Linked DNA regions of Arabidopsis thaliana. The protein of the gene in region 2 interacts with the protein of the main gene of each other region in a pairwise test. Each region holds a gene or a part of one and is shown on either strand. Other genes may lie near its edges. The genes, in order: AT5G63710, KUP10 and AT2G30020.

What was found.
Region 1: the proteins of KUP10 (region 2) and AT5G63710 interact in a protein complementation assay, tested with the Arabidopsis thaliana proteins (one large-scale study listed by BioGRID).
Region 3: the proteins of KUP10 (region 2) and AT2G30020 interact in a protein complementation assay, tested with the Arabidopsis thaliana proteins (one large-scale study listed by BioGRID).

The regions. Positions count from the first base shown.
Region 1 is NC_003076.8:25,495,531-25,506,237, forward strand, and holds AT5G63710 (Leucine-rich repeat protein kinase family protein), read left to right. Parts: upstream 1-3,980; 5' UTR 3,981-4,373; coding exon 4,374-4,389; intron 4,390-4,402; exon of another isoform or gene 4,403-4,493; coding exon 4,494-4,640; intron 4,641-4,718; coding exon 4,719-4,848; intron 4,849-4,934; coding exon 4,935-5,006; intron 5,007-5,082; coding exon 5,083-5,226; intron 5,227-5,320; coding exon 5,321-5,386; intron 5,387-5,475; coding exon 5,476-5,546; intron 5,547-5,618; coding exon 5,619-5,762; intron 5,763-5,850; coding exon 5,851-6,192; intron 6,193-6,269; coding exon 6,270-6,664; intron 6,665-6,747; coding exon 6,748-7,068; 3' UTR 7,069-7,301; downstream 7,302-10,707. Other genes in the region: AT5G63700 (zinc ion binding / DNA binding protein), read right to left, coding at 1-493, 819-1,006, 1,178-1,257, 1,984-2,102.
Region 2 is NC_003070.9:11,100,898-11,111,964, reverse strand, and holds KUP10 (K+ uptake permease 10), read left to right. Parts: upstream 1-3,869; 5' UTR 3,870-4,603; coding exon 4,604-4,750; intron 4,751-4,904; coding exon 4,905-5,130; intron 5,131-5,210; coding exon 5,211-5,456; intron 5,457-5,544; coding exon 5,545-5,595; intron 5,596-5,689; coding exon 5,690-5,950; intron 5,951-6,032; coding exon 6,033-6,200; intron 6,201-6,298; coding exon 6,299-7,590; 3' UTR 7,591-7,728; downstream 7,729-11,067. Other genes in the region: AT1G31095 (lactate/malate dehydrogenase, NAD-binding domain protein), read right to left, coding at 8,321-8,341, 8,569-8,601, 8,703-8,753, 8,985-9,067, 9,175-9,187. UniProt on the Arabidopsis thaliana protein: Putative potassium transporter.
Region 3 is NC_003071.7:12,809,471-12,818,710, reverse strand, and holds AT2G30020 (Protein phosphatase 2C family protein), read right to left. Parts: upstream 4,441-9,240; 5' UTR 4,275-4,440; coding exon 3,771-4,274; intron 3,494-3,770; coding exon 2,807-3,493; 3' UTR 2,351-2,806; downstream 1-2,350. UniProt on the Arabidopsis thaliana protein: Protein phosphatase that negatively regulates defense respones. Inactivates MPK4 and MPK6 MAP kinases involved in stress and defense signaling.

The DNA.
Region 1 (10,707 bases), on a different chromosome or scaffold from region 2:
ACCTGCGGATAACTGACTCAACACTATGTTGTGACATTGCCTCTCTGGTGTCTTCCCCTATGGACGTTAGGAAATCAATGAGAGGCTTTGAACCCCATCTGATAAACTCCATTCTCTTGTTTTTGCCAACCTTTTTATAATCAACTGCATCTTCAACCGCATGGTCAGATACTAAAAATTTGGGATCATCTTTGTTCTTCAGCTTGACGCCTTTCTTTCCTGACTTTGAAGTGTGGGCATCACCAAGCGCAAATTTGGGATCATCTTTGTTCTTCAGCTTGTCGCCTTTCTTTTGTGACTTTGAAGTGTGGACATCACCAAGCGAAAATTTGGGATCATCTTTGTACTTTGACTTGACACCTTTCTTTTGTGGCTTTGAAGCGCAGACCTTGCGGACATCGTCAAAAGTTAGACCTTCTTGTTTTTTCGCAATTTCCCAATACTCAAGAAACAGACACTCAAATGTATTCCGATCTGTCAAGTCAAGCTTATCCTGCCAAACCAGTAAAGGAGTGTTAAGCAAACAAAAGTTTTAAGACAAGCTTGGGAGATAGACATATACAATAAGACATACCAAATGTGTAGTTGATTCATCCTTTTCCTAAGCCTAACCAAATTATCTAATTGAAACTTTTAGAGTTGTTTCACTCAGATTCATCCAATTTCATACTCACTTTTGTTTCAAATGGACATAAATCTCTTTAATACAGAGTTTACAAATCCTAAACACCTTAGTTATTTGCAATGGATGGAAACCAAAATTTCAAGGTTAGAGACTACTACTATCCAAAGTTGAGTAATAACAGTTTGAAACATACCCCAGCAGCATCATATTCTTGAATTTCTTCTAAAGCAAAGACATACTCCTGGCATTGATTGCATAACCCTTTATCCCCTTTAAGTTGAATAAACTCAGCATGAGTGACACAGCCTTCACATACAGCATGTGAGCAACAAAGGCAGCATAGCTTTGGTGTTTTCTTACACAAGTAGCAACTGTGCCACACTGAAAGTTGAAAAATTCACAATTAGCCCTTCTGACTACAAATATGAACCTTTATCTACACTCTACAGATACAGGGGTATATCTTACAATTCAAAGGAACCAAACTACTTCAAAATGATAATAACATTGCAATGAACATACAAATATATATAGAGAAACTTTAGCACTTACTACAGATATACGAGTCTCCATTCTTGCTTGCTGAGCTATCCTTTTCAACGCAACTTTCATGATAAACTTTTGGACAGTCTCTGAAACAAGCAAGCACAATGAGGTGCACAGTTAGATGCATACATTTAAACTAGACTAAATATCACAAGTGTACTGACAAACTGACAATACTTTAATATTCATCTTGACAATCTTTTCATAATGAAATTGTTAATTTTCATGCAAATCATACATTAACAATCTGCTGCAATTTAATAGAAGGAAAAAGTCAATGTTGCTACATTACCTAAGCTCCTAATTAATGAACTAAAGAAAAAAGAAACATCTTTATACCTTTAACTACAGAATAATACACAATGTCTCTCCTCAAGCGCATTCATATGAAAGAATCATCAAAAAAAACCAAAGCAGTAACATTTTTTATAGCTTCATCATTCAGAGGAAATGACTTCTTTTGGCATAAATCACTGCCTCCAAACGAAATCCCCTAATCGTCAATTTGAATAAACAAAAGTAACTTGATTGAAAAAGAAGTACTTTCCTAGTGAAGAACACAAAGTTTCCTGTTTCCACTTAGACAAACAAATCTATAAAAAAGAACCAATAAGACAACATACATGTTCACTCGGTACAATCCTACATTGAAATTGACAAATCCTCGTTATAATATAAGCAAAACCCAACAAAGACTAAAACACCCTTCATCATTAGAAATCAAGAACATGCAAAGAACAAGCAAACAAAAAAAACTAATCCTCTACCGAAGCAGCAGCAGCATTATGCTTAACTAAGTGAGAGAGACTCACTTGAAGTCACAGAGCATTAGGTTTCCACCATCTTTACAGATAAAGCACCAATCCTCACACTCCTTCTCATCCTCCTCCTCATCATCCAAAATCTCCACTACATTCATATCTCTCGCCATCGCTCTCTCTCTCTCGATCCGATGTTACTTGGCGGTGACCTAGTTAGTGGCGACAGAGCAAGAAGAAGAAAAACTTATCTCTCTAATTCTGATATTAAGGCTGAAAATTAGCCAAATAAATAGCTGTTTGAGTGACCTGTGTCAGTATTACTAGATTCTTAAGGATTCGCTTTGACCAATCACCCAAACGCCAACCTCTACTTTCCTAAAGTCTCTATTATACCCCTATCGTATCCAGGACACGTGTCCATTAAACACAGTTTCATAGGGGTTATTTCGTAAATTGAATAAGTCTTGCGTTCAGATGGACCTTTTTTTTTTACTTAGCGATTGCGTTTTGTGACCGGGAAGTACAATGCTCGCAAGTACAAAAGATATCGAACCAAGTTTTGTCTTTACCTAAATTTTGGATTATAAGTGATATTTGTTGTTAAAATTAATTTACTAATTATAACATTTTTATGAACAAATCATTTACAAGTTATAAGATTTTAATAAGTAAGAAAAGTAATCTGGCATTTGGTTTCACAATGTTCAAATTTATCTTTCTTTCTTTTTTTTTTGCTCTGAAGGCTTTTTTCTCACTTACCTAAGTTCATTTTTTCCTGATAAAAATAGAAAATAAATTTGAGTTTGTTTTATTTGTGAATGTTGATGAAATTTAACTTTTGAAATATACGTTCTAGATTGAGATATGATCATCAGATCTTTTTGCAGATCGAACAAAAGTCTCAATAAGGTGAAGAATCGTATGACAACATATAAAGGGAGGAGCATAAGAACATGTCCAACTAATCAAGCATATTAGTATTGATATCATTATTCCGTATATATTCTTAGTCTCTTCTTCCTCACATTATGTTCTCTTTCTCTTTTCTTCACCTAATTTTCCTATTAAAAATATCTATCTTTTTTTCTCTTCTGCCTACATTTCTACATGATGTTTCAACATAGCTCTTAAGGGAAATAACCTAAAGTTTTCTAAACATTGATGTTTTACTACGTCTTTTTTGAAAGGCGGTAACTAAATTTGTTTTTTTTTTTGTTTTTTAAAAGGATATCAAAAGATCAATTACTTACCTTATAAATGTTAAAAATGTAAACTTCTCAATGTTTGAATTTATTTACTCAAAAACAGATAGTTAAATATATATATATATATATATAGTTATAGGTTATGTTAAAACTATTTTAGTTTGTATCATATCCTTTGATTTGAAGGTCAGAGAAGAAAGGAATATATACAAAAACGCCCTTTTGCATTGTCATCGTCCAGAATAGTGGAGTAATATAACACGAACAAGTGGAAGTGTGGAACCTTCTTACACATGCTTCTGTCTCTTCCTAAAGCATAAGCCATTTTCCCAAACATTATTAAGTTCTTAATTAAGTCATTGGTTTGTTTTCTATTACTAATTCGTTTAAATCATTCTTTATTACTTTATGTTTATTTTGGGCCATCTATATCCTTTTTTGTTAAAATTGATATCCTTTTTAGCCCCAATCACATCCCAAGTTACACACTTGCAAAAGAGATCTCACCCAAAATAAAGAAGCAAAAGAAGATGGAAAAATACACCTCCATTAAGAAATCAAAGATGTTTCAACTTAGTGGGATTCTCTTTCTCTCAAAGCAGCATTTCTTCATCTTCTTTTTACATCATAGAGATAAAAATATGAAAAATACCTTTTGTGGGTCCTTTATAAGCACTAACTTCTCTTTCTTTAGATGATTTTACATTATTGTTGCTTTTATTGGCTTCATTATTATACAAATCCTCCATTTCTCTCTTCAACCCCATGTTTTCGTTCTCTTCCGTTTAGAGTGTTTTCAGCTCCTCTATGGCTCACTCGGGTATTTAAAAGCTTTGTTTTACTTATACTTTAATGCCTATCTTTCTCCATTGTATATTAATTAGGTTTCTTGGTTTTTGTTGTTTATTTTACATAACTTTATTGTTTCTTTTAGTTTCGAGTTACAAAATATTTGGTACATATTTAGGTGAAACGGAGAGGTTTTTGATCATCAAAGCAAAGAGTCAAAGACAGAATTATAAATTTTGTTGTTCTTGATACTTATAAGCTTTCATTTTTCTTAATGTTTTCGGTTCAAATGAGCTCTGATAGAGGAGTTATGGATTGATCTGACAATGTTTCACATCAGAAAGCAATCAAAGCTGTTAGTTTTTAAGACATAATTAGACCCACAAATCGGTCTTTTCTTTTCTTTGCTTTCTTATGTTTAGTTAACATAGTTTGATCACACAAGTTATGTGTTTCTTGTATAGTAAGTTAACTTTCTCCATCGATTTGCTGCAATTTAGACTATAGATTCTGCAGCAGAAAAGAAAAGCTGTTTAAACTGAGATTGACTGATTTAATAAACTGCAGGGAACGGTGAAAGTTTCCATGATCCTCTTCGAGGATTCATTCAAAGAAATTGCTTTAGATGGAACAATCAGAAATTGATCTTACAATGTTTCATGGCCTTAGCTTTTGTGGGAATCACTTCGTCAACAACTCAACCAGATATCGAAGGTCTATATATAATTAGCCTTTGTTTATAAATCATTAATGATCTTGTAGTATTAACTCGCTTCTTGATTCATTTGCTAGGAGGAGCTCTGTTGCAGCTCAGAGATTCGCTTAATGATTCGAGCAATCGTCTAAAATGGACACGCGATTTTGTGAGCCCTTGCTATAGTTGGTCTTATGTTACCTGCAGAGGCCAGAGTGTTGTGGCTCTGTAAGTACTCTTAAAGATCACTTCTCAAGTTTTAGTTACCAAGATTTCTCATCATGTTGAAAAACTTGTTTTGTATCAATCTGTAGAAATCTTGCCTCGAGTGGATTCACAGGAACACTCTCTCCAGCTATTACAAAACTGAAGTTCTTGGTTACCTTGTAAGAGATCATAAACCAATTCCATTACAAGTTTCTTTTTAGGTTCCATTACTCATAGTAATTGTTCTTGATGCAGAGAGTTACAGAACAATAGTTTATCTGGTGCCTTACCAGATTCTCTTGGGAACATGGTTAATCTACAGACTTTAAACCTATCAGTGAATAGTTTCAGCGGATCGATACCAGCGAGCTGGAGTCAGCTCTCGAATCTAAAGCACTTGTAAGTCCACTCAAAAACTCTTTAGGAACAATCTTTGAAATGTGACTCTGTGAGAGCGTTTGGCTAAGATAAAACATTGAAATTTAATTCACAGGGATCTCTCATCCAATAATTTAACAGGAAGCATCCCAACACAATTCTTCTCAATCCCAACATTCGAGTAAAAAAAACTATTTTCCTCATGAATCTACCTAATTAGTCACAGTGACTTGTCAGTACTATAATCACGTTTTTGTGATTTTTCTGCAGTTTTTCAGGAACTCAGCTTATATGCGGTAAAAGTTTGAATCAGCCTTGTTCTTCAAGTTCTCGTCTTCCAGGTTCTTAATTATTTCTTCTTTCTCCAATTCACATACAAACAGAAAGACTTAACTTAGTATCTTTATGTTCAGTCACATCCTCCAAGAAAAAGCTGAGAGACATTACTTTGACTGCAAGTTGTGTTGCTTCTATAATCTTATTCCTTGGAGCAATGGTTATGTATCATCACCATCGCGTCCGCAGAACCAAATACGACATCTTTTTTGATGTAGCTGGTAAGAAGTTACATATACTTATAGTCAAACATCTCATTAGATCAATATGAACTCTTGAGCCAATATCCTTTTTCCTTAAAAAATGCAGGGGAAGATGACAGGAAGATTTCCTTTGGACAACTAAAACGATTCTCTTTACGTGAAATCCAGCTCGCAACAGATAGTTTCAACGAGAGCAATTTGATAGGACAAGGAGGATTTGGTAAAGTATACAGAGGTTTGCTTCCAGACAAAACAAAAGTTGCAGTGAAACGCCTTGCGGATTACTTCAGTCCTGGAGGAGAAGCTGCTTTCCAAAGAGAGATTCAGCTCATAAGCGTTGCGGTTCATAAAAATCTCTTACGCCTTATTGGCTTCTGCACAACTTCCTCTGAGAGAATCCTTGTTTATCCATACATGGAAAATCTTAGTGTTGCATATCGACTAAGAGGTATATATACTTAGCTTCTCTATCACTTAACCAAATAATAGATTCTATAATGTGTGTGTACATATGTGACATTGTAGATTTGAAAGCGGGAGAGGAAGGATTAGACTGGCCAACAAGGAAGCGTGTAGCTTTTGGTTCAGCTCACGGTTTAGAGTATCTACACGAACATTGTAACCCGAAGATCATACACCGCGATCTCAAGGCTGCAAACATACTTTTAGACAACAATTTTGAGCCAGTTCTTGGAGATTTCGGTTTAGCTAAGCTTGTGGACACATCTCTGACTCATGTCACAACTCAAGTCCGAGGCACAATGGGTCACATTGCGCCAGAGTATCTCTGCACAGGAAAATCATCTGAAAAAACCGATGTTTTTGGTTACGGTATAACGCTTCTTGAGCTTGTTACTGGTCAGCGCGCAATCGATTTTTCACGCTTGGAAGAAGAGGAAAATATTCTCTTGCTTGATCATGTAAGATTGACTTCTTTTACATGCTTTCTTCTATCTGAAAAGACTTGAAACTAATCTTAAGTTGTTGGATGTGTATGAAACAGATAAAGAAGTTGCTTAGAGAACAGAGACTTAGAGACATTGTTGATAGCAATTTGACTACATATGACTCCAAAGAAGTTGAAACAATCGTTCAAGTGGCTCTTCTCTGCACACAAGGCTCACCAGAAGATAGACCAGCGATGTCTGAAGTGGTCAAAATGCTTCAAGGGACTGGTGGTTTGGCTGAGAAATGGACTGAATGGGAACAACTTGAAGAAGTTAGGAACAAAGAAGCATTGTTGCTTCCGACTTTACCGGCTACTTGGGATGAAGAAGAAACCACCGTTGATCAAGAATCTATCCGATTATCGACAGCAAGATGAAGAAGAAACAGAGAGAGAAAGATATCTATGAAAACAAACTTGCATTACAGAAGATAAACTTAGAAAGTATTTTAAGCTGCTAATTGTATTGAACCAGGTGGGGAAAACGAAGCAAACACACAACGTTGATTTGTGTAATAGATGATATGATATACATAACTAGTTGTGTTTTGTATATATATGAATTTGGTTATTTTCGTATGATAATGATGATCATGGTTGTTATGGTGGCAGTGTTTGCTCTGTTTTTCTACATACGTCGTCGTTTCGTGTGTGTCCCGTAAAAATTATAAACTTCTGAATCCAGTCCTTGAAGTTTAGTTGGTTTTTCAATTTTACCTTCAACTTTTGTATTCTAACAATTTACCCCACTTGTGACATTGTTTATGGCTAATTTTACGTCGAGTATTCTTGTTTTTTTCTGCACGTCGAGTATTCTTGTTTCTAGATTGTAAATGATGTACTATCAAGAAAACTAATTGTCCAGTCTATGTATCTCATGAAATTATTAGACTAGTGATTTATTGGAAGGGATGATACAGTGACAGAACAAAACAAATCTAGATGTTTTTGTTGTAGTGACATGGATTCAGAGTGTAGATTCATAAGAACAGAACTTTCATGGATTAAGATTTATTCTTAAACTCTAGATCCTCTGGTATTAAAATACAGATTGTTAATTTTGGTGTTGTGTACTTTGGGTGCGTTAAATGAAGGATGAGGCAAGGAATGGGACCGGAGACAGACGTAAGCGGTCAGTGAAAAAGAGAACTCCTTTCTAACTTCCTCGTAAACCGGGCTGTTTTTCTCGGTTCTTGGTGCTTGGTTTCCGCTGACACCGACATGTCCGGTTCCCAGGTAACTTTCTTCTCCACCGTCCGATTCAACTATGAATGAACGTCCAGATCTTCGTTTTCCTTTTCTATCTCTTTGGTTTGTTATGACGTGTTCTTCGGTATTTCTCCTGAGCCTCTCAGACGTACCCTAAATAACAAACAACGGGTCCCCAAAAAAAAAATTTTATATGCAAAATTTTATTAAATACGCAATCAATAGGGAGACAATGTTACAAGCTATATGTATGCATATTTACTCCCTACAAAAAAAAATATGTATGCATATTTTACATGTTGAAAAAAAAAGAGTTATCATGTGAAAAAGTGGGATGATATTCAAAATATAGTAGATATATCAACCATGATTCATATTAGTATAGATAGATTTTGTTACTAGTATAAAACCTATAACATTGAAAAAAAACATTTCTAACCAGTATTAGTATTAGTATATACATGACTTGGTAAAAAAAAGAAATGTAAATCATACTACTTTAATTTATAACTAAAAAAAAGACAAAATTTAGTAAGTCGTTGAGGTGGAGCCAAAAGCAATAATAAGGTAATAATAAATCGAGAGGAAGGTACTTGTCTTGCATTCAATACCATTAGACATATTATATGCACATTTACCATTATGTATAATATTTTATTTATTTTAAATTGTGAATTAGACACTTATATTCAGAAAGGAAAAATGATCCTATAACTACAGCATGTAACTTTTGCAGTAGAAATCAATAATATTCGGTCTAGAAACTACAACAAAATTGTTCAAACTATGAATTTTCATTACTTCGTATATGGTACTAAAGACAAACACTCAATCCTTGATGTATATATTACAACATGTGTCTTTTGGAGACTTTTTCCTTCTGATAAAAGCTTTTGGAGACTTGACAGAGATTTTAAATAAGAGGAAGATTGCTGTTGGCCTCGGAAATGACTGAAATTAAATATACACAAGAAACAATTAAAGACAATTGTAGATATTTTCTTAAAAAGGAGATTGAATCTAGTCATGGAAATGGTTTGAACTTTGAATGTACTAACTCGAAGTATGTCGGATTTTACCACTCTCGAGTCTCGACTACACTGTAAAGTTCTATTTTAGGTAACCCTACACACACCATATAAAGACAATAACCAAAATTAACCAAAACCTATTAAACCAAAGTTACTAAATCGATGTAAAAAAATGCAGAAGAAAAATCTAGGGCTTAGATCTTTTGTCCTCTCTATAAATAGAAGAGACTACTTGGGTCTCTTTGCCCTGTCACATGCTTCCTTCTTCTTCTTCTTTTTTACTTACATAAAGTTGCTTACATTCTTGTCCTCTTCATCTTATTCTTCTTATAGTGAAGCGATTTAGGGTTTAGAGGAATGTTGTTTGGCTCGAGGTCATGGAGAGTAATTCGTTAACCCAACTCAAAACTCTAAATGATTCTCGGACCAGGCTTCATTCCCCTCAACCTATTTTATCGCATTTTTCAGAAAATCTTTTCACATTTTATATCACTTCTCAGTTCTCACCCCATTCAAAACCTATATATGTTTCAGAAGCTTTTTGGCCCATCTAGAGTATAACCATGTTACAGTGTTTTTTTTTTTTTTTGCTAAAACCATGTTACAGTGTTAATTCTTATATATAACCATTGACAAACTCTTTGAATAGCTAGAATTATGTTCCCTAGAATATAAACTATTTATTTCTTCTATCTTTCACTGTTTCCCCTTTTGATTTACTTTGAAACGTTTCTAATCTTTATTTGCACGCAGTAGCTGTTCTTTTTACTAAAAAAAAAAACACGAACAAAAGAAATCTGGATTGGATCTATGCATGCAAATCTTGTTTTTTATACACTTTCAGAGGCATTTTATTTACTGATTCTTTAGCGCTAATATTATTAACTTTGGAAACACAATCTGTTAAGGCATCTTGGAGGATATATAAATAAGATCGAGGGAGTAAATCTTGTAATTTGTGAATTGTTCCATTTTTCACATCTTTGAGTTCAGTGTATGATTTTTTGCAACCTTTAAATCAGTATATAAACCATAACCATTGACATATGATCATTTCATTTGTCTTCCATTTTAACTGAGGTGAAAAAGGAAGAGAAAAATAAGGGTTAAACCAAAGAACAAAAGAAATCTTTGCACGTGAATATGATGATATGGAATGGATGGCTTCTCCTCAATATTAAAAGTCTCGTCAAGTTGAAATGCTATTTACACATCTACACGTAATTGAAAAGGACCTTTTATTGAGGTTTTACATATTGTAAATTCACAGATTGTGATTGATTGTTATTTTCATGAAAGAAGCGAGATTGGACGTGATTTGCGAGTGTATATATATGAACTACGCTACCAAGTATACAGTGTTGACTATTGCTTTATTTGGGTGTGTTAAATAGTTTAGGTAGACTTGAGGAGTAACTTAGAATTTCAAAAAGTTGGTAAGCTTTTTTATACGAGCAAAGTCAGTTTAATTTGTATTTTTATAAAAAAAAGTCTATCATCAAGTTCTTTTGTCCATGAAGACTCGTAAGTAAACGATGAATCAGTCAGGAAAAAAAAAAAAAAAATCTTATCTGAAAATGGAATATCGGAATTTACAAAAACAACCTCAGATTTTATTTTTATTTTGTCAACAAACCTCGAATTATTTAAATGGAACATAATCAACCAATGTGATTTACAACTATTTCGTAAACGGTGTCGTTTTGGTGTTTGACGAAGACGAACCAACGTTGCTTTTCAGACACGAAAGCAATTCGGTTAATTTGTTTCCACTCCA
Region 2 (11,067 bases):
GTTTGAAGCCAAATTTGAAAACATGTGTCAAATCTTCGATCTCCACTATGTTTGATAGCCGATAAATGATTCCGAATATGTTTATCAATCCACCCGACTAGCCGACTTGATGGATTCAGGGATGCACCATGTTTACGCTCATTGCACTCTCGCCAAATAGTATGAATTGAGACCTGCAGTAGACAACGAGCTAGAAAGCCTGCGATGCGATCGTGCCAGTTGTTTGAGACGACGTTAATGATGGTTTGCCAGTCCGTGGAATAGCTTGTGTTGTAGATGGTCGTTGTTAATGGTTCTCACATTTCCGTTGCATAGGAACATTCTGATATTGAAACATTCTGAAATTGTTTAAAAAAAAAAAAAAAAAACCAGTGATTCCATTTATCTTTGTTTTGATTCCATCCTTTCTCTTCACAGTTAGGTTCTTTATAGTAACTCCCAATAATGTGAATTCTGACTATTCTAACCAATCATCTCCTGAGCACCTTCAACAAGCAGTTCTCGAACTTACTTCCTAGTAGTGATTTTCTTTGTATTGATTTTGTTAGAGCATGTATATGGGTGATACTCATATAGTATCATAAGTATTTTTTTAGTATTATTTATAATATTTATTTATTATTTAAGAATTTTTATGATATTCCTACTAAATATGTTTGCATTGGTGAGACCAGTTAAGTATCAAAAAAAAATTACAAAATCAGAAATTAATATAGTAAAACATAAGATTACTAAAAAAAAAAATTTCTTCTGATTTGAGTGAAAATACTGACCAACCGTATGCTGTCACGTCACCTGATACTGAGTATCAAAGATATCAGTTCACTGATACAAATCAGGCCCAAATTCATAGTTTGATCAATTAAAATATGATTTTTGAGCTATTAATACCCAAAATAAATCACCCATGTACATGGTGATGTGGGTTGTCATCCATAGTTTCACTATTATAAGCTATAATGTATCTATAGCATGTAGTTTAAACTGATGTGGGTTGTCTATTCATAATGAATACTATTTTTGGACAAGCATGATAGCACACTTAATTAGTCTCAACTCGAATCTTAACTCTTAATAAATCCCTTTACACCAAAATGCCTAGAAAGCTAATGCATGTCCCTGATATAGCTGATACTAGTAAAGTAGTACTTGGAGTCTTCTTGCAAAATTGAAGAGATGGAGAGCTGTTCTAGATAGAAACTTTTTTTTTACCGTACCATAGGTTTATCAGCGAGCGGCCCCAAACACAACGAATAATTATTGAACAAGGACCTAAAACTTTGATAAAAGACAAACTTATTAAAGATGTGCACTTAATTAGTTCACAAGCTCCTTTTGTATGGAGTTCAAATATGACCTCAAAGTGGTGCCCGCGAAAAGAAAATAGGGGTTTTGGTCGTTTGGTTTCAAAACTATATCTTATTTATTTGTTTGCCGTTTGCCTCTTTGCTTCATAACTCGTGATGCACGTGTGCCGTATCAGTAACAATACCAACACGTCATGGGAGTTTGAAACTTGGATTAACCTTCTAGATACCCAAATATTATTTTCTTATTTGCAAAAGTAATGTGGTGATAAAATCATGAATAAATAGCTGTTACTTTGGTCTATGTTTAATAAAAGAGTTGAGTGATATGATATAAAATAATGGGAGAAAATAATGATATTATGATATTCCAGAACCAAAAGGTGTATTTTTTGTTGTTGTAATTAAACATCATTTATTATCTATGTTGTTGTAATTAGCCAATTAACGAAATATAATAATAAATAATGATAAAAATTGGACCAGCTTTGTTTTTTTTCATATTTGTTTTTCTTTTCCGGGCAAGGACCACTTATGGTTACCGTATCAGCTGTCTTGTATGTCTCATTCTGTCAATTTTAGGTTACAAACACGTGCATGTACATATCGTAGTAACATATGAGTCCATACAATTCTAGTTTCTTTTTTTTTTAAAAGACTTCGAGGTTGATCATCAGAGTAGGCAAGATTTTTTTTTATGATACACACTTTGTCACAGTCCATGGTCACTTTGAAACTTTTAATTCGAAAAGAAAAGTTTGTTGCATCATGCAAGGGAAGCGAAAAAAAATCTTCTCTCGCTTCAATACCAGATTGAGAAAATGGATCGAAAATTTAGTTTTTAATTAACCGTCTTTTATGCATCTATGTTTTTATTCTTCTTTGCCATAGATCCATATGTATAGATTTCAAATTTTATGTTTGTAACCTAAATTTTGTTCATTTTCAATGAAATATTTACAATTTAACAAAAACAAATTCGAAAAATACAAAGCATCAACTTAAAATTCATAGGCAAAAGGCTTTTTTTTTTTTTTTTTTCAAAAGACTGTCTTGTTATTATGAAAATGTCATTTAAATAATTTTGAATGCTAGCTTTTAGCTATCTAACCTAGTGGTAGCTAGTAACCAAATGGACATTAACTTAGCTTGTTTATCATAATTTATCTAAGATCGATCGAGAGTGTTATTAGACATTTCTTTGAAACATCGCAAAATGATAATTACGGCTATAGATTTTAAAGTTTCTTATGTATTTCAAGTTCTAATCATAGATAAAGAAATTTAAAACAGTTTTAATCGTATCTTTTAATTCACACATGCACATATACATGAAAAGTAAATAACTTAATTGGAAACATTTTTTTTTTGATAAATGTATCGTAATTTTAATTTGGTTATCTTACCTGTTACCAACATAAAATGAGGACACGTTATGATTTTTTTTTATTTTTTTTTTAATGATTTGTTTTAGTATATAAATATTTTGATTTTCATGGCCAAACATATAGCACAGTTCTTATTAGTTATTACGCGCAAGATAACACAATTATTTGTTTATCTTTAGCACATACTCGAAGTCGAAGATCCTCAACTGAGATCAAGTTTAGTCAAATATTTAAGAAGAAGCTATAAACATTACGTACTATTATAGACTTAAAAAAAATTCGTACATGATTACACCAATAAGTTAACTGCACATCCTCGATTTAAAGAATGTCATTTGATGATAAGATTTATCAGATAACGTGTCTTTTTAAAACACTAAAAAAAGAGAGAAAAAAATACTTGGGGTGTATGTATTGTTAAACAAGCATTATCTTGTTTGCGATTTATCTATTTCTGAACATCATTTTCTTTGAGTCAAATGTCTAATGTTTGAAGTTTGAACATATAAATACGTATTACAAGATGATACACAATATAATTAAGGAATAAATAAATTAAATTTTGATGAACTCTAATTTCCATTTTATTTTGGTTACCCAAAATGGTAAAGTACGAGACCACATGATAGAGATAGAACAGTGTACTTTGACCTTAATTATGCTTTTTTTTAAACGAAGTTAAAAAATCTCACAAGGTCAAAGCTGGAAAAATGAAGTTTTGTTCTTCAAAGAGAATTTACCTGGGCTTGAAGTCCTAGCGGCAAAGCCGGCAGCGAAGTTTTTGTCCAATTTATTTATTTATTCTAATAATTTATACTCCACATTATATATGTTAATAAAAATAACAACACAAATCAATTGTGTTTCTGTAATATTTTTAACAAATTAAAAATACAGTTACTATTCCTTTTTTTTATTCTTCCCTATTTCATCTATAGGAATATAAACTTGTAAATAATTTTTTGGTATTTTTATTTTTTGACAGCCTTGTATAGAAATTTAAATATACGTAAATAAATTAGGTAATGTCCCCAAAAGACAGAGACAGTTTTAGTATAATACAATTTCAATACAATGACATAAAGTTTAATTATATAATTTTTAAAAACGCTAATTATATTTTTAATTAAATCTCTCAATCCTCGTCGTTGTCGTAATCATATATCCCCTCCCCAGTTCTTCTTCCCTCTCTCTCTCTTTCACCATAACAAAAAAACTGATTTGTTTACTCTGTTAATCAGAGAACTTTCTCTGAGAAAATAACAGGAATTCAGTTAGTTCTTAGTTCCTATCAATCACCAGCTGAATAAATTCGTTTTTAAAAGAGAACGAAGAAATTCAAAAAACCCAATTCTGCTTTTTCCCGATAACTTCGATCGTCTTCGCTTGGGTTTTGTGTAATTTGAGTCTGTGAATTGAACCGAGCCCCACCAAAGTAAATGCTCCATAACGTTGAAAACATTTTCTTCTTTATACAAGAATTTCAAATTGTTTCACTTTCTCCATAGGGGTTTTTGGGGTTCTCTGTTTTTCTTTGACGAATTTTGATTTTGCAAATTCAGGAAAAAAGTTTAAACCTTTAATCGTTTGTTTAAAGGATCGATTTTTTAATTTCTTACTCAAATTGGGATGCAGTACATAAGTAGATGTTTGCCTTTTTGTGTAAACTTTGTGAATTTTCAATGTTTATTTCTCCTTTAGGGATTTGTAGGTTCTCTGTTAATTGAGAATTTCGAATCCACCAAATTGGAATTGAAACGTGGTGATTCCAAATTCGAGGTTATATTCAGGTTTTGGGTTAGGTGAAGATCTGGGTTTGAAGTTATAGAGGGGATTTAGGGTTCTGGGTTTATAGCAACAAAAGGGTTTTGTGTTTTAGAATCAAAGATAAGATTGAGAAAGTAAGAAATGGCGGGGAGAGTAGAATCATCCATTGGTGGTGGTGAGATTGATGAAGAAGGTGATGAGAGAGGTAGTATGTGGGATTTGGATCAGTCACTTGATCAACCTATGGATGAAGAAGCTGGTCGCCTCAGGAACATGTATAGAGAAAAGGTTTAATTATAATTCTTGATAAATCTTGGCTGTTTTAGTTGCTCTGTGATGCTAAACACTGAGTGTTGTGTTGTTGCTATAAGACTGTTGTAGAGACTTATATGGAAGATTTTGTAGTTTGGGGGATATAATGTAGTTTTCGGTTTTGGTGCAGAAATTCTCGGCGTTTTTGCTTCTGCAGCTTTCATTTCAGAGTCTTGGTGTTGTTTATGGAGATTTGGGAACTTCTCCTCTATATGTTTTCTATAATACATTTCCTCGAGGGATCAAAGACCCTGAAGATATCATTGGAGCTTTATCGCTAATCATATATTCCCTCACACTCATCCCTCTCCTCAAATATGTGTTCGTTGTATGCAAAGCAAACGATAATGGGCAAGGTAGTATTACATTTCACGGCTTCAGGGCTTTTGCTATGCGTATTGTTTTTTTGTTGAATTGTCTCTTGTTTGGTGAGTAGGTGGTACATTTGCTCTCTATTCTTTGCTCTGTAGACATGCAAAAGTTAGCACAATTCCGAACCAACACCGTACTGATGAAGAGCTTACTACTTATAGTCGTACTACATTTCATGAGCGTTCTTTTGCTGCAAAAACCAAGAGATGGTTAGAGAACGGTACCTCTAGGAAAAATGCGCTACTTATTCTCGTTCTTGTTGGTACGTGCATGGTGATAGGCGATGGAATCCTTACTCCCGCCATTTCGGGTAATGTATTATTCATTGACCTTCCAAATATATACATTTTGTTGTTTTTCTACCGGGATAGTATTTCATCGTGTTTAATCTGTTGCAGTTCTATCTGCTGCGGGTGGGCTCAGGGTAAACCTACCTCATATAAACAACGGTATTGATTATTACGTTAAATCATTCGTTTTACAGTGCCCATTTACGCTAGCGATGATAGTTGATCAATCTAGGTTTTTTGATTGTTGTTACAGGTATTGTTGTTGTTGTGGCTGTTGTGATATTAGTGAGCTTGTTTAGTGTACAACATTATGGAACAGACAGAGTCGGGTGGCTTTTCGCGCCCATTGTATTTCTCTGGTTTCTCTTTATTGCAAGTATCGGTATGTTCAATATATGGAAACATGACCCAAGCGTTTTGAAAGCGTTTTCCCCGGTTTATATATTTCGATATTTTAAAAGAGGAGGCCAAGATCGTTGGACCTCGCTTGGAGGCATTATGCTTAGTATCACAGGTAAAGAAACTGATCAAATGTTTATCGTTTTCTTCATCTTTTATGATATTCATATTTTCTTGTTATGTCCATCATATTTCAGGGATTGAAGCTCTCTTTGCGGATCTCTCTCATTTTCCAGTCTCAGCTGTGCAATTCGCTTTTACTGTAATTGTGTTTCCTTGCCTCCTTTTGGCTTATAGTGGACAAGCTGCATACCTTAGAAAGTACCCGCATCATGTCGAAGACGCGTTTTATCAATCCATTCCAAGTTTGTTATATATATCTCTTATCAATTTTCGTACTATCGATGGATGTCTCTGGACAAAGTTAGAGAAGAGTTTCTGTTTTTGTTTTTTGTTGTTGCAGAAAGAGTATATTGGCCAATGTTCATAATTGCAACTGCTGCTGCAATAGTTGCAAGCCAAGCTACAATATCCGCAACATTCTCGTTGATCAAGCAAGCTCTTGCTCATGGATGTTTCCCGAGAGTTAAAGTCGTGCATACTTCCCGGAAATTCCTTGGTCAGATTTACGTTCCAGACATCAATTGGATCCTCATGATCCTTTGCATAGCTGTCACTGCTGGATTCAAGAACCAGAACCAGATAGGAAATGCTTATGGGACTGCAGTTGTGATTGTCATGCTCGTGACAACGCTTCTCATGATGCTGATCATGATACTTGTTTGGCGATGCCATTGGGTTCTAGTCCTCTTATTTACTCTTCTATCCCTTGTTGTGGAATGCACTTACTTCTCGGCGGTGCTCTTCAAGGTTAACCAAGGTGGATGGGTTCCGCTGGTCATTGCGGCTGCGTTTCTTGTCATCATGTATGTTTGGCATTATGGAACCCTCAAGAGGTATGAGTTTGAAATGCATAGTAAAGTCTCCATGGCTTGGATTCTCGGACTCGGTCCTAGCCTTGGTCTTGTCCGTGTTCCTGGGATTGGCCTTGTTTACACCGAGCTAGCTAGTGGAGTCCCTCACATTTTCTCTCATTTCATCACAAACCTGCCGGCAACTCACTCTGTCGTGATCTTTGTCTGCGTCAAGAACCTTCCCGTATACACCGTTCCCCAGGAAGAACGGTTCCTTGTAAAAAGAATCGGACCCAAAAACTTTCACATGTTCCGCTGCGTTGCGAGGTACGGATACAGAGACTTGCACAAGAAAGATGACGACTTTGAGAAACGGCTCTTTGAAAGCCTCTTCCTTTTCCTCCGCCTCGAATCGATGATGGAAGGCTGCTCAGATTCCGAAGATTACAGCGTCTGCGGAAGCCAACAACGACAGTCCAGAGATGGGGTCAACGGGAATGGGAACGAGATTAGGAACGTGTCGACGTTTGATACATTTGATTCTATAGAGTCGGTTATAGCTCCCACTACAACAAAACGGACAAGTCACACAGTGACGGGGTCGAGCCAAATGAGCGGAGGAGGGGACGAAGTGGAGTTCATAAACGGGTGCAGAGACGCAGGAGTGGTGCATATAATGGGGAACACAGTGGTTCGAGCCAGGAGAGAGGCAAGGTTCTACAAGAGGATAGCCATTGATTATGTTTATGCGTTTCTTAGGAAGATTTGTAGAGAAAACAGTGCCATCTTCAATGTTCCTCAGGAGAGCCTTTTAAATGTTGGCCAGATTTTCTATGTGTAATATATCATGTAAAATGTTAGGCATGATTCATTTGATTATATCTTGTTTAAAGAAAATAATTGTGGTTAGTGACCATATAATATAATCACAAATCGAGTCAGATATTACAGATATAAATCACATGTTGTATTAGCCCCAAAAATCACAAATCGAGTTTTTCAAGTTGTGGATTACCAAAAATAAAAAAGTGGCCTATACAGGGATCGAACCTGTGACCTTCGCGTTATTAGCACGACGCTCTAACCAACTGAGCTAATAGGCCATATTTGTTAAATGATTAATACTTTATTTAGTTATTTAGTTGTACTCTACAAAATAAACTTTTTCTTCCAAGTTCTCTCACTTCTCACCATGTGACTGTAAGCATCTCCAATGGTGAGAGCCTCCTAGGGGACTCTCACCATTTTTTTAAGAATAAAATTTTAAAATTGAAGAGATGAGAACTTATGTTATTTTTTTTAGTTTTGTAAAGTCCAATGGTAGTCTCTCTTTGTAGAGTTCTCAGAAAATAAATTCTATTGATTTTGAAATCGAAATGTTGAAATGTTTGATGTTGAAATTGTTGTAATAGTGTGAAAAATTCTATTGATGTTGTTGTCAAACAACCAACTAGTGTAATAAAATCATGATATGGTCGGTCTATAGGGAGAGATTAGTTGCCATCTTTGCATATGATAATATCTGAGTTGAAATAATTTCATCTGCCTCACAAAGAACTAACTCAAGATTTTTAAACTTTGTTAAGATATGGCTGAAACATTGCAGAAAACAAACTGGAATATTGATATATGAATTCAAAGTCTCAAATTGAAAACCTGCAACTACCCAAAGTCTCAAATCATTGTTAAGAAAAAACTGTAACTCATCAAACACTTGCAACTCATGAAACCTACAACTCAACCTCCATCTTCACTATCTTTCAGTTATTGGAAAGAAGGTAGTGCTGCTTCGTATTCTTAAACCAAACCTTGCAGAAACCTGCAATTTCTCAAACCAAAACATGCAAATAACCTGCAATCTATAACTCAAAAAATTAAAAGCTGCAATTTTTCAAACCAAAACCTGCAACTTCTTCACACAAAGATAACCTGAAAACGAATAAGGCAAAGAACCATAAGTATTTGAGATGAAAGTCTATGTGAAACTCCTCTACACTTCTGTAGCTGCAGTATTAAACAACAGAAGCATAGATTTTTATCACACTAAACCATATAAAAACTAGCTAATCACTCCTTAATCGCAGTCTATAAACAAAAAAAGCACAGCTTTATTACACAAACCCCTAATTTAGATAGAAACTGACCTTTACATCTAGAGCATTAACATCGAGATGATCTGCGATTAAGAATCGGAACCAAGAAGATTAGTATACCAGATCCAAGAACTCGATTCACCTGAAAACCAGAGAGCTTCCAAGCAACGTAAGTCAAAACATCGATATGATTAGAAACAATGATCAAGATAGAATCAGGAGAAGCTTTAAACAATGAAGCCAAAACATAACGTTTATAAGAAATAAATCCTATATGGATTATCAATCTGACAGAACAAAAAAGAAGTAGATTCTTACCAATTACGATTTACGAGCTTCCTTCATCGATTACTCTCCAGAGGTCGATATGAATCTCCGATTTGCATCATCTCTCTCACTCCGATCGTGACATGCGGCTCTGCAAATGATGAATTCTGCCCAAACACTCAGTACTACCTTCAATCGTCGCCAGCAGCCTCAGTTGTGACCTCAATCACAGGAGAAATCAGAAGCAATCGGCATCGCATGTTTCAGCAAAGAACAGAGAGAGAGAGAGAAAGAGTTGGGGGAAACGAAATAATGTTTGGGTTCTTTTCACGCTTTTTTTTTTGCTTGTTTTGTTAAAACCAACTGACCAATGATAACGCACCACGTCATCGTCTCTCATCTCTCTCAAAAACTCTCTCAAGAGAGACAGCTCTCTCTCTTTTAATCCATTTTGATTTATTTTTCAACTCTTTTTTCAAGAGAACCAACAATGAGAACTCCATTTTGCATCCATTGGAGATGCTCTCATTAGACAATCTCTTCTCACAAGTCACAATGTTGAGATTCTTATCCTTTTTTTTTTAGTCTTGATTATGGATTCTGAATTTCTTATCTTTTTAATCAGAGAGGCTTTATAGACATGGTCTTAAGACTGTTCATTGTGAATTTTTTTTTGTAAGTCCAATATATGACTCCAATCTTAGTTAACGTCAAACGGATACAATCAAAGGTAAAAGATGACGATCAATTTTGCAAATTGTATATTAGTATTAGTGTACTACACTACCACTAAAGTGATTCTTATACGGTTGTAAATGAAATCATATATAGACAAATTATAATCTTATACGCTTGTTAGTGAAAATCATTTATAGAAGAAAAAACTTCAAATCTTCTTTTGATTGTATTTATTATTGGTATTGATTTACTTTTATACGTCACAGTAAAGCCACACAAGCTAATAATACCAGCTAATTTGATAACGTTCACGGTGCCTTGGAAAAAGATTGTCGATAGTCACTATACTCTAGTCTTCTACCTGGCCAAGGAAAAAAATATATTTAATGCATCTTTTTGACAACAACATCTAATAAATTTAATACATATAGACACGCATTGATTTTTTCACAACAATATTCAATTTAGCTATCACTCAGATTATATCAAACGAACAAAAAAATGAAATTCGCATTTTAATTTGCAAATAAAAAAGAACAACAAACGAACTTTATTAAAAATATACTAGAAAACTTCTAATTACAAAGTATGAACATAGACGCCAAAAGAAAAAAAATATATTCCCGTTGCTCTTTAACGTTCACAATTAACAAATTAATTTAACTTAGAACGGTTAAACTTGTGGGTTACACTTTAGAAAAAATGTTAACACAAACAATCGGGGATGTATTTAATCTATTGCACGCATGAGTCAAGAAGTACACATAGCAATACTAAGCGAAAGAGATTTGACTTAAAGACTATATTCGAAGTATAATCATCCCTAAGAAAAAGGCGGCCAACAATTGCCCCTCCGTCAACAGCAGCCGCGGTCTAGAGTCGCTGCCGCTGAGACAGATGTCATTGCTACTTCAAGCAAAGTGGATAGTGGTCAAGTGGAATGTATTTCTATTTGTTTCGACAGTTTTGCTGGCTCTAGTTATTTACTATTTGGCGTCACTTGTTCAGCCACTGCCTCTACCGCTGCAGCAAATTTCAAGCTTTTCAGCGTTTGTACCGCCGCTGATTGGAGTCAAACAAAGCTCTAACAATACTGATACCGTTTGTAACCTAACTTTATGATCTACACATTTATCATATTATTGGAAGCATGTTGTATATCAATCAAGTTGAAGTATATTATATATGTGTTTGCCTGAAAAAAAACTAGTGATGTATCCAATTTTATATTATTAAGGCAAGTATAGTCCTAGAGAAGTAGTCTTAAAATATATAAATGG
Region 3 (9,240 bases), on a different chromosome or scaffold from region 2:
TATACTTTAACCAAACTTTTATCACGTCACATGTTAATATTTAATTTGAAAATTTTCGTCGTCTTAATTTTTTTTTTGTGTGTGTGTTTTTTTTTATAGAAAAAGTTGTAAGCAAATTGTTTAGTTTTGATAGATTTTAATTTTTTCCAAAACCCTCAGAAAAAATTACGCTCTCATTTAATACTTGTACTGCATAATTTTGGTGAGGTTGTTACTCGACTTGTAGTTGTAGGAGAGTTAAAGAATCTTAAGTATTTGAAAGACTGACAGATATAATTTTTTTGGAATACACCATATTAAATAGAGCAATACATGAAAACATAGCGATTGTCAACCATGAAAAACGTCAGAAATTCGTTGGAAACAAGCTTTTGTTCCAAATTCATTAGTATCATGATTAGTCTGTTAACAGTTTTGCACTTTCCTTGGTGTAGCTCTCTCGCTGATAACCAAATTGTGGATTGCATCGATCATCTTGCCGAGATAAGCTCGGTCTCACATTGAGATAAGTGAATCCTTTACATGTGTTCCTCCGAATCCGTTTAGCTTTCTTTTTCATTCTAAATCGAATCGAGTAACAAAATGAGAGGTGTCAAAATTTCGATCCAAGGTTCTTCCGCATATATCATTACAACAATCTAACTTGAATACCATAGTTTAAGCAATTAAAGTCAAATACATGTGGTGCTTTATATTATCGGTTATATTTTCTTCTTGCACTAAATTTTCAAATCGTCGATTAGAGCTGAAGACATAATGATAAGGCCAATGCTTCGAATCAAATAATGCGAGTGAATTGTTTGCACGTATCTACGATTCGCTTCCATTTCATGGACTATTTTTTTGTGTGTCTAACATTAATTTACGAATTACATCGCGAAACAAATTGCTACAAACAAAGTAAATGGCTTTAACTATAGATTCTTATTTTGACAAAAAAAAAAAAAAAACTATAGTGTATTAAATAAAAAAAACGAGGGACCACACGCAAAACACCGATTCTAACTTTGAAAGAATAGTAAATGCCAACCAATGGCCAGTTGTAGTGGACGAACTCTGTCTTAATTACATCGTGAATATTTAATTGCATGCGAGTGTGGTTTATAGTATTATTGATATTTTCTTTGTTTATTTAGTTAATTATTATGGGTTTGTTAACAAGTCTAATTCAACTACTTCTTTTCAAGCTTTATTCCTCTTGGAAAAAAAAACTGCCCAAAAGATAAAATAGAAATTGACTTGTAAAATAACATAAAATAGACATTGACTTGTAATGAGATGAAAATAGAGTTAAAAATCATGATTTTCACAATTAAAATATGAAAAGATACAGGTAAAGTTAGGTTGTAGGGATTAACTCAATGTGGATCATGTAGGTCATGGTGTTATTTGTTAGGCTTTCATTCATAAATTTGTTTTTGAAAAAAAAAACAGTGAAATAAATGAAACTGATAGATGGAAGCTAAATTAAGTGAACTAACACAACTTATGTTACATTAAGTTTAGTTACACTGAATCGGTAGAACACATGATGTGTGTGGGACTGAAATGCTAATTTTCCGGAGATTTGGTTTGGTAAAGTTAAATACGAGAAGAAAAGAAATTAGAGTTGGAGAAACAAAAACAAGAACAAAAGAGAAAAAGCCGAACAACGTGCCGTTTTTGGGGTCCATTGGAAGACAAAAAACAACAACGTGTTCTCCGCCTACAACACAAAAACATGTGTTTGTAATTCACGTGTTGTTTTTACGTTCTTTCTTTGACCATTGTCTTCTTCCTCTTTTCACAAACTCAATCTTTTGTTTTATTTTTCTTATCCTTTTATCGGCTTATCCATGTCGGTAATCATTATCACCGCACATATTTGTTTTTGCTTGTTTCTTATATGTACATAAAATGTATATGTTCAATTTAATTTGCACATCATTTCACTCTTGTTAATATGTAATTCATCGAAAATTATGGTTCTTAATCCATGTCAACATTGTCACAATTAACAACATTGTTAGGATATATATGTCAACCACAGCCAAAATTCTAAGTGGTTTGTATTGGTCTCAATGTCTAACCAGACTGAATGTGAAAAACACGAAAATGAATAGATTTAACGAGATTTTAACTAGTAGACAAAATAAAAACATATCTTACGTTTGCATGAAAACAGATTGAGAATTTGAGATCCAAGACCAAAACTAATTAAACTACACATGTGAACAAATAATATATTTTGGGCTATTCGGGTTTGTGTCCGGCCCAATGGTTTATGTTAGCCTGTCAAACTTGAGGACTTTGTTTGTTTTTCTCCTTTTTCCTAAGAAAACTCTCTTTATGGTTGAACTTGTTTTCTCGATCAACTTCTCTTGTACCTTCGTTCCACTTTAAAACAATATTGGCCGTGTGACTCTTTGACCAGGATCACTTGTCATGTCGATTTCTTTCACGTTGCATCTCAATATGAACTTCATGTATGTTGGAGTTGTGAATTGAAATTCATCAAAACAAGGAATCTTTGATTCAGATTGAGTCAATCTCTTCCAAGCACTGTGTTGGTATTGTACTGTAGAGAAATTTGCAGGATCTTGAAACATATGACAAGATATATAACGAACCGATTATTAGATTAATTTCGGCCAATGCTCGAATCATACAAGTAATCATAAGCCACAATGAGTTTAGCTTTGTTCACTAAGTTAGAAAGAATAAATAAATGAATGGATCAAGTTAAACAAAAGAACTAAATCATATAAAACCTCCAAATTTCTAACGTTTATCATATATCTAAAATCTTCTAAGATGCCTCTCTTTTCTATATGAACTGGCGTAAAGGGATCAACATCACACTGATATCATCAGACGAGCCTCGTGAAGCAGATAAATCGACAAGCTTCTTACAGGCAGCTAACAACAATGGCTTCTCGGTTCCTAAGCAGAGAGGACGAGCAATGTCTACTGCTTCTTGGTTACTCACTTTATCCCATAAACCATCAGATGCCAAGATCAAAAACTCATGGTCATGCTCGATTCTCGAAATCTTTGTCTCTGGTTCAGCTATAACCCATTTCTTAAGTTGAGCATCTCCAATTCCTCTTGACACAGCTAAAGATCCCTGGATTCTCCAAACACCGTGAAACGTATCAACATATCCTCCCGTGGTTTCAATTCTTTTCCGTTCATCGTCTCTAGACGGGCGGTGATCAGAAGATAAAGCCTTAGCTACACCTCCTACACTCATAACAGCACGACAGTCACCGGCGTTAGACACAACAAGGTTCCCTTCGTTAACCAGAGCCGTGACACAGCATGAACCACCCTTAACGTCTTCCTCCTTAAGAAACGACGCGTCTGTTGCCAAGTAACCATGTTTCACCGCTTCAGCTATCTCAGACTCGTCTCTCTTACCAACTACTTCTTCTACAATGTTCTTATCTAAGTTCTTAGCTGCAAACTCAGCCGCTTTAACTCCTCCATGACCATCATAGACTCCGAAAATCGCCTGAGAAATTATCACAAAGCAAAACAACGTTTAGAATACACGATTCATCAATAAGCACACAATTGTTTCATATGATTCTGTAAAACTTCTAATTCTATTCAGAATTTCAATTTTCCCCAAAGAACCCTAATTTTAGATAGCTTATTAACCCAATCAATGTAGATCTCACATGATAAACCCTAATTTGAGCTGTAATTGCTAATCAATCGAATCAAAATCACCAATTCAATTCAATTCTAAACCAAAACTGAAAAATGAATTTGAAATTTAAAATTACCTGTTTACGATCTCCATGAAGATTGGTGATAGCAGAGAAACGATCCTCCATAGCTTCTCTTCTTCCTCTCTTACAATAAACAGAATAACCATCACCTTCTCTCTCAACCTCTCTACACTCCTCTCTCGGCGTCGCAGCCACAGCGGCCGATGAAGAAATCGGAGCTACAAATCCAGCAACACCAATCGGTATATCAAGCCTTGTAGGTCGTTTCCTCTTTAAAACACCTCCCGGAGGAGAGGATGCAGAAACAGATTCAGATCCAAAAGATAATGGACCAGGAGCGAATCCGGACGGAGGTTTCTGGAAACGGAGACGAAATGGAGATTTAGGAGAAGAAACGGTGGTGGATGGAGAGGAAGGAGAAGAGGTCTGAGGTTTGCGATGAGAAAGCGTTAGAGAAAGAGATTCTTGCGGTGACGAGAGAATCGAAGATTTGTTGCAGAATAGAGAAGACGACGGTGAAAACACCGGAGAATTACATACGGCGACGGAGCAAGACATCGTTTCTATATTTTGATTTCGATTTCGATGAGTAGAGATTTGTTTTTGCTGAGATTATTGTTTTTGTTTCTTCTCCTTCTGTTTTTTTTTTGTTGTGACGATGTACAGAGAGAGAAGAAGAAGGTTTTTAAATATAAAGGAAAGAAGAAGGTAATGAATATTGAATGAATTAGAGTCCGTGTTTATCGAGCTTTATTCAAAGTTTTTCAGTCTCTTTGACTTTGTAAATAACATTTATGCCCTTACAACTTTCATTTCCTTTATTTATGTTGTCCTTTTACTTTCTACAAAATGGATATTATTTTGAGGAAAACAAAATTAGCTTGAATCCTACTCTTGTTGACCAGTTTTTTTTTGTTGGCAAAATAAAGGAAAATATCATTTTTTCTTAATAATGAAAAATGTATATATCCATGAGATTTTTTATTCCAATATTTTTTCATAACCAAAATAAGAATCATTCAATTTTTGGTAACTTTATGTCAATTTAATAATAAAAACAAATTATGTCTAGTAGACTAGAACTATCATAAACAAAAAGAGGAGTATTGCAAATAAGAAGAAAGGCCCTTTGTAACGTAGAATAAAATTCAATAAAACACAGCAGATAGTACAAAAGAGAATGTTGGAGGGTAAAACGGTCATTCACAGTCTAAAATAGCTAAAACGATGAAGTAAGCGATTTATTGGGTTTGCTCTGTGAGGTTAAAACAGACATTTCAAATGAAGTCAAAAACACGTCTAAAAGGAAACGAATGCTAATAATTGGGCATGTGGGTAACGTATCTGTGTTAAAGAAGTGTTTCATTGATGACTCACTTTTTTTTTCTTCTCCTTTTTAAATTAAATGAAAAATAGAATCTTAAAGAATTTAAAACGACCGTTAGGTTCTATACGTCGTCGTTTTCATTGGATGAGTATTTTTGCTTGTCGTAGTCGCAGCTTCTAAGCAAGTGACCGTTGAGAGCCTGAAGAGGAGCCTTCGTTTTGTTTGTTTCCATTTGATGACCGTTGTGAATTTGTCAAAAAGTCTAATACATAAAGTTGTAATTGATCTCGTTTCACACGAGGTCTTCTTATTATTAAAATACAAGTCTTCTTCTTATTAAGAGAGTGTTAATTTTTTGAGTAATTTGTGACATCATTAACTGATAGTTTTGTCTTTTAAACGGTATTTGATATTCTAGAGTTGAAAAGGAATTGCAATGTTCTAGAGTTGAAGAAAAATCCATTAGAAAGTTTTTGTTAATGTTGTGAATTGTGATAGGGATGAATAGTAAACAAAGAAAAATCAGTTTTTGCAATATTATAAGACCAAAATTTCCTTATTAATAAGTATTTGCATATGATAAGACCAAAAATTTTACGTCTTATTATATTGTCATGCGATTAATGTTCCACTATTAAGCACTTTTAGAGAATGTTTTTCCGTTTGAGGCAGTTTATAGGAAATAGACACTTTTTCTATTAATTCTTTTTTTTTAAAGACTTTTTTACCCTCAATTCAATATTTATGTTTTTAATTCTTAATTTCTCTTTTTTGTTATTCCTCTTCCACGATCCTTACCCAAAATAAATAAAATCTCTCTCTCTCTCTCTCCATGATTTGTAGCGCCTCTCTCTCTCTCTCTCCACGTCTCCATAACTTTTGGAGAAGTTTCTTAAACAATTTGATCTCGATTATCTCAGGAATTTGGTAAAAGTTCTATGTCCATAAGGTATTGGAGGTGGGGTCTCTGCAAATTGTAAGAAAAATCAACAAACAATTTTTTGGTGTCCATAATAACGAGTCCATTTAAATATATCCATTCAGAAAACCTTTTACTGATTCATATTCATTCTATATACCATGTCCATATAACAGGAGATTCGATTAACCGTGGTTTGTAAAGAAACCAAAGTTCCATGTCCATAAGGTCTTGGAAGTGGAGGTCTCTTCAAACTGAAAGAAAAATCAACAAACAATGTTTTGGTGTCCATAATAACGAATCCATTTAAATATATCCATTCAAAAACCTTTCTACTTATCTATATTCATTCTATATACCATGTCAATAATAACAGGAGATTCGATTAACCGTGTTTTGTAAAGAAACCAAAGTTCCATGTCCATAAGGTTTTGAAGGTAGAGGTCTCTGCAAACCGAAAGAAAAATCAACAAACAATGGTTTGGTGTCCATAATAACGAGTCCATTTAAATATATCCATTCGGAAACCTTTTTACTGTTCTATATCCATTTTGTATATCATGTCCATAATAACAGGAAATTCGATTAACCGGAATCTCGATGCTACATAGATGAAACGAGTTTGACACATGAGAGAGAGCAAAAATCAAATCAAGCCGCCATTGTTGAAGAAGAAGATGTTTCTTAGATAATTGAATCTCAAATTTATATCAAAACAAATATTTAAATTGCAAAATAAATTACAATCTTAAAGAAACCAAGACCTCATATTCTCTAATTAGTCCAGAGAAAAAAGAAAGCCATCGCGTAGAGTGGATTTGGAGATTAATTGCAGATTTGGAATTGAAGATATTCTGGGAAATGTTTTTTTCTTCGATAAAGTGAGAAAAAAAAAAAATAGAGAAGAGATGGGAAAAGGAGAGAGAAGAAATGACCGATGGAAAAAATGTAGTTAAAGGGTAAATAAGTAAAATAATTTATCTAAAGTGACTTCTCCATTTAAAGTGCCTAATTAGGAACAAACTTTTAAAAAAGTGTCTAATCACGTAATATTCTCTACTACTAATTCATACCAAAAAAAAATGTTTGCTTTTTATCCTAGTACATAAGTTATTTAAATATTTTCGAATTATCTGATTAAATGACCTCAAAAACCGAAAAGAAAGAAAAAAAACTAATTTAGAAATATAGTGTAATTTTTCTCTTTCACCACTAAAACAAAATCTTATTTGTTCACTGTACACTTAAATACTTTTTGCGTCTTCTCTTTAAGAATACATTTTTAAAAAAGTATTGAAATGTGATTTTCATTTTTGTAGAGAATAATCATAGGCATATATATATCTCTATATACATAAACTCCGTTAGAAACAAGCGAGACCAAAATAAAACTATTACTTTCGACATGTGATGGCATTTCCGTGGGTTAGGCAATATACTTTAGAAATTGCAATCATAAATAACTTACAATTAGAAAATCATTACAATTATCAGTCAATCAGTCATAGTAATGATTATTAGTTATGATTTAATGCTGTTTATGTTCAACAGAAGACTAAGTCACATACAAGACTCCTCCTACTTGAACAATTGGACTTGGTTGTATGGGTATATATTTTTTGACCAAGTGGAATGATTAATCAAGCAAAGTAGGTTTCTTCTACTCCCTAATTAGGATTTTTATGCAGTCGTCTGTTGTTTCTCGTTGAAATTGTCTTCAATCTACTTTTTTCTTGTAAGTTTAAAAATTGCAACGTAATGTAGTTTTTTTCTAGCAACTATAATGTCATCTGCACAATAGATTTCATAAAGACATCTAACATTTAGAACTTGGACGTCCTTTAATTAGATCAATATTCAATAGTATTGCATCTGGATGGCCCATAATCTCTCAAATTAAATTTTGTTTCTCTTTCGAATCTAAATTAGGAAGATCCGTATGAGCAAAAAGTACTTAGGGTTTGATTGGTTCTCCCTCTGTCACCCGCAAACGCTGCGTTTGCAGGTGGTAGCGGTTATTAGCGGTTGGCACTAATCATAGAAACCGCTAGATATCGCTTTGTACCGCTCGAAATCGCCAGATTTCAAAAGCTCCTTCCCGCAAGCGTTTGCGGTTGCGGGCGGTAGCGGTTAGATTAAAAATAATAATAATTAATTAATTAAAATAATTATGTCTTCCACCCAAACCCTATACTTATTCTTATCAGAAAACCCTAATCAATGAAACCCTATTCTCTCAATTATGGCATCCACCCAAACTGACAAAAATCAAAGTCAAAATCAAGAATCAAACGTAAGTATGATCTATCCTTTCATCCATTCATTAGCTAGTGTAATTCTCGGAATATTTCATGGCATCGTTTTTTTTTATTTTGTTGTTTTTTAAGTTTTTTGATTGAATACATGTTTTGATTTGTTTTCTCGATTAGAAAATCATTTGGTCAAACGAGACCACATTTGCGTTACTTCAACGGGTTATTGTGGAGAAATAAACGGAAGAATGCAAAGACCCCAAAATCAGATTTCTAAGTGATGTTCAAAAAGAAAATATTCTTAAGAATATTAACGTTTGGAAAAAATTTGAGTTGGAGATGTGTTAAAAATCGTTTGGATATCTTGAAGAAACTTTATCATATGTATAGAGGCAATCCGGAAAACCCGCGAGTTCAACGTTATTTACAGTTTATCACACTACTTGATGCAATTTTTGGTGATGTACCAAATGCATAAAGTATTAAGCTTTTTCTTACAAAATTTATTTATTTTTGAATTTTCAGTTTTATTTATGGTTTTAATTATTAAGTATGTTTAATTTTTCAAATATTATCAATTTATCATAATAATATATTGTATTTTTTTCTTTTAATAGTAATATATTATATTTATTTTGGTTATTTTTTATTTAATTACTATCGCACCCGCTGGTTTATCAGTCATAAAACTCCCGCAAACGCACCTATTACCAAACGCTCAACCAGTCGTTCAAAACACTTGATAACGCTTGAAACCGCAACCGCCCGTTTCCGCAAACTCCCGCAACCGCAACCGCACCCGCTGCGTTTAAACCAGTCAGGCCCTTAGATTCCTATTAGCAACACGGCGACGATTAAGAGTACTTGCATAGACTCCCACAAGTAGTTCTATAACCTAGATAGTAGATATCCAAAACATCTTTCTTTGTTCTCGTTTTTCTTGGGATTGATAAACCCTTTAGTAATCTTTTATGGGCCTAAATTGAGGAGCTTGATGCCCAATATATAGGCCTTTTTATTTTAAGT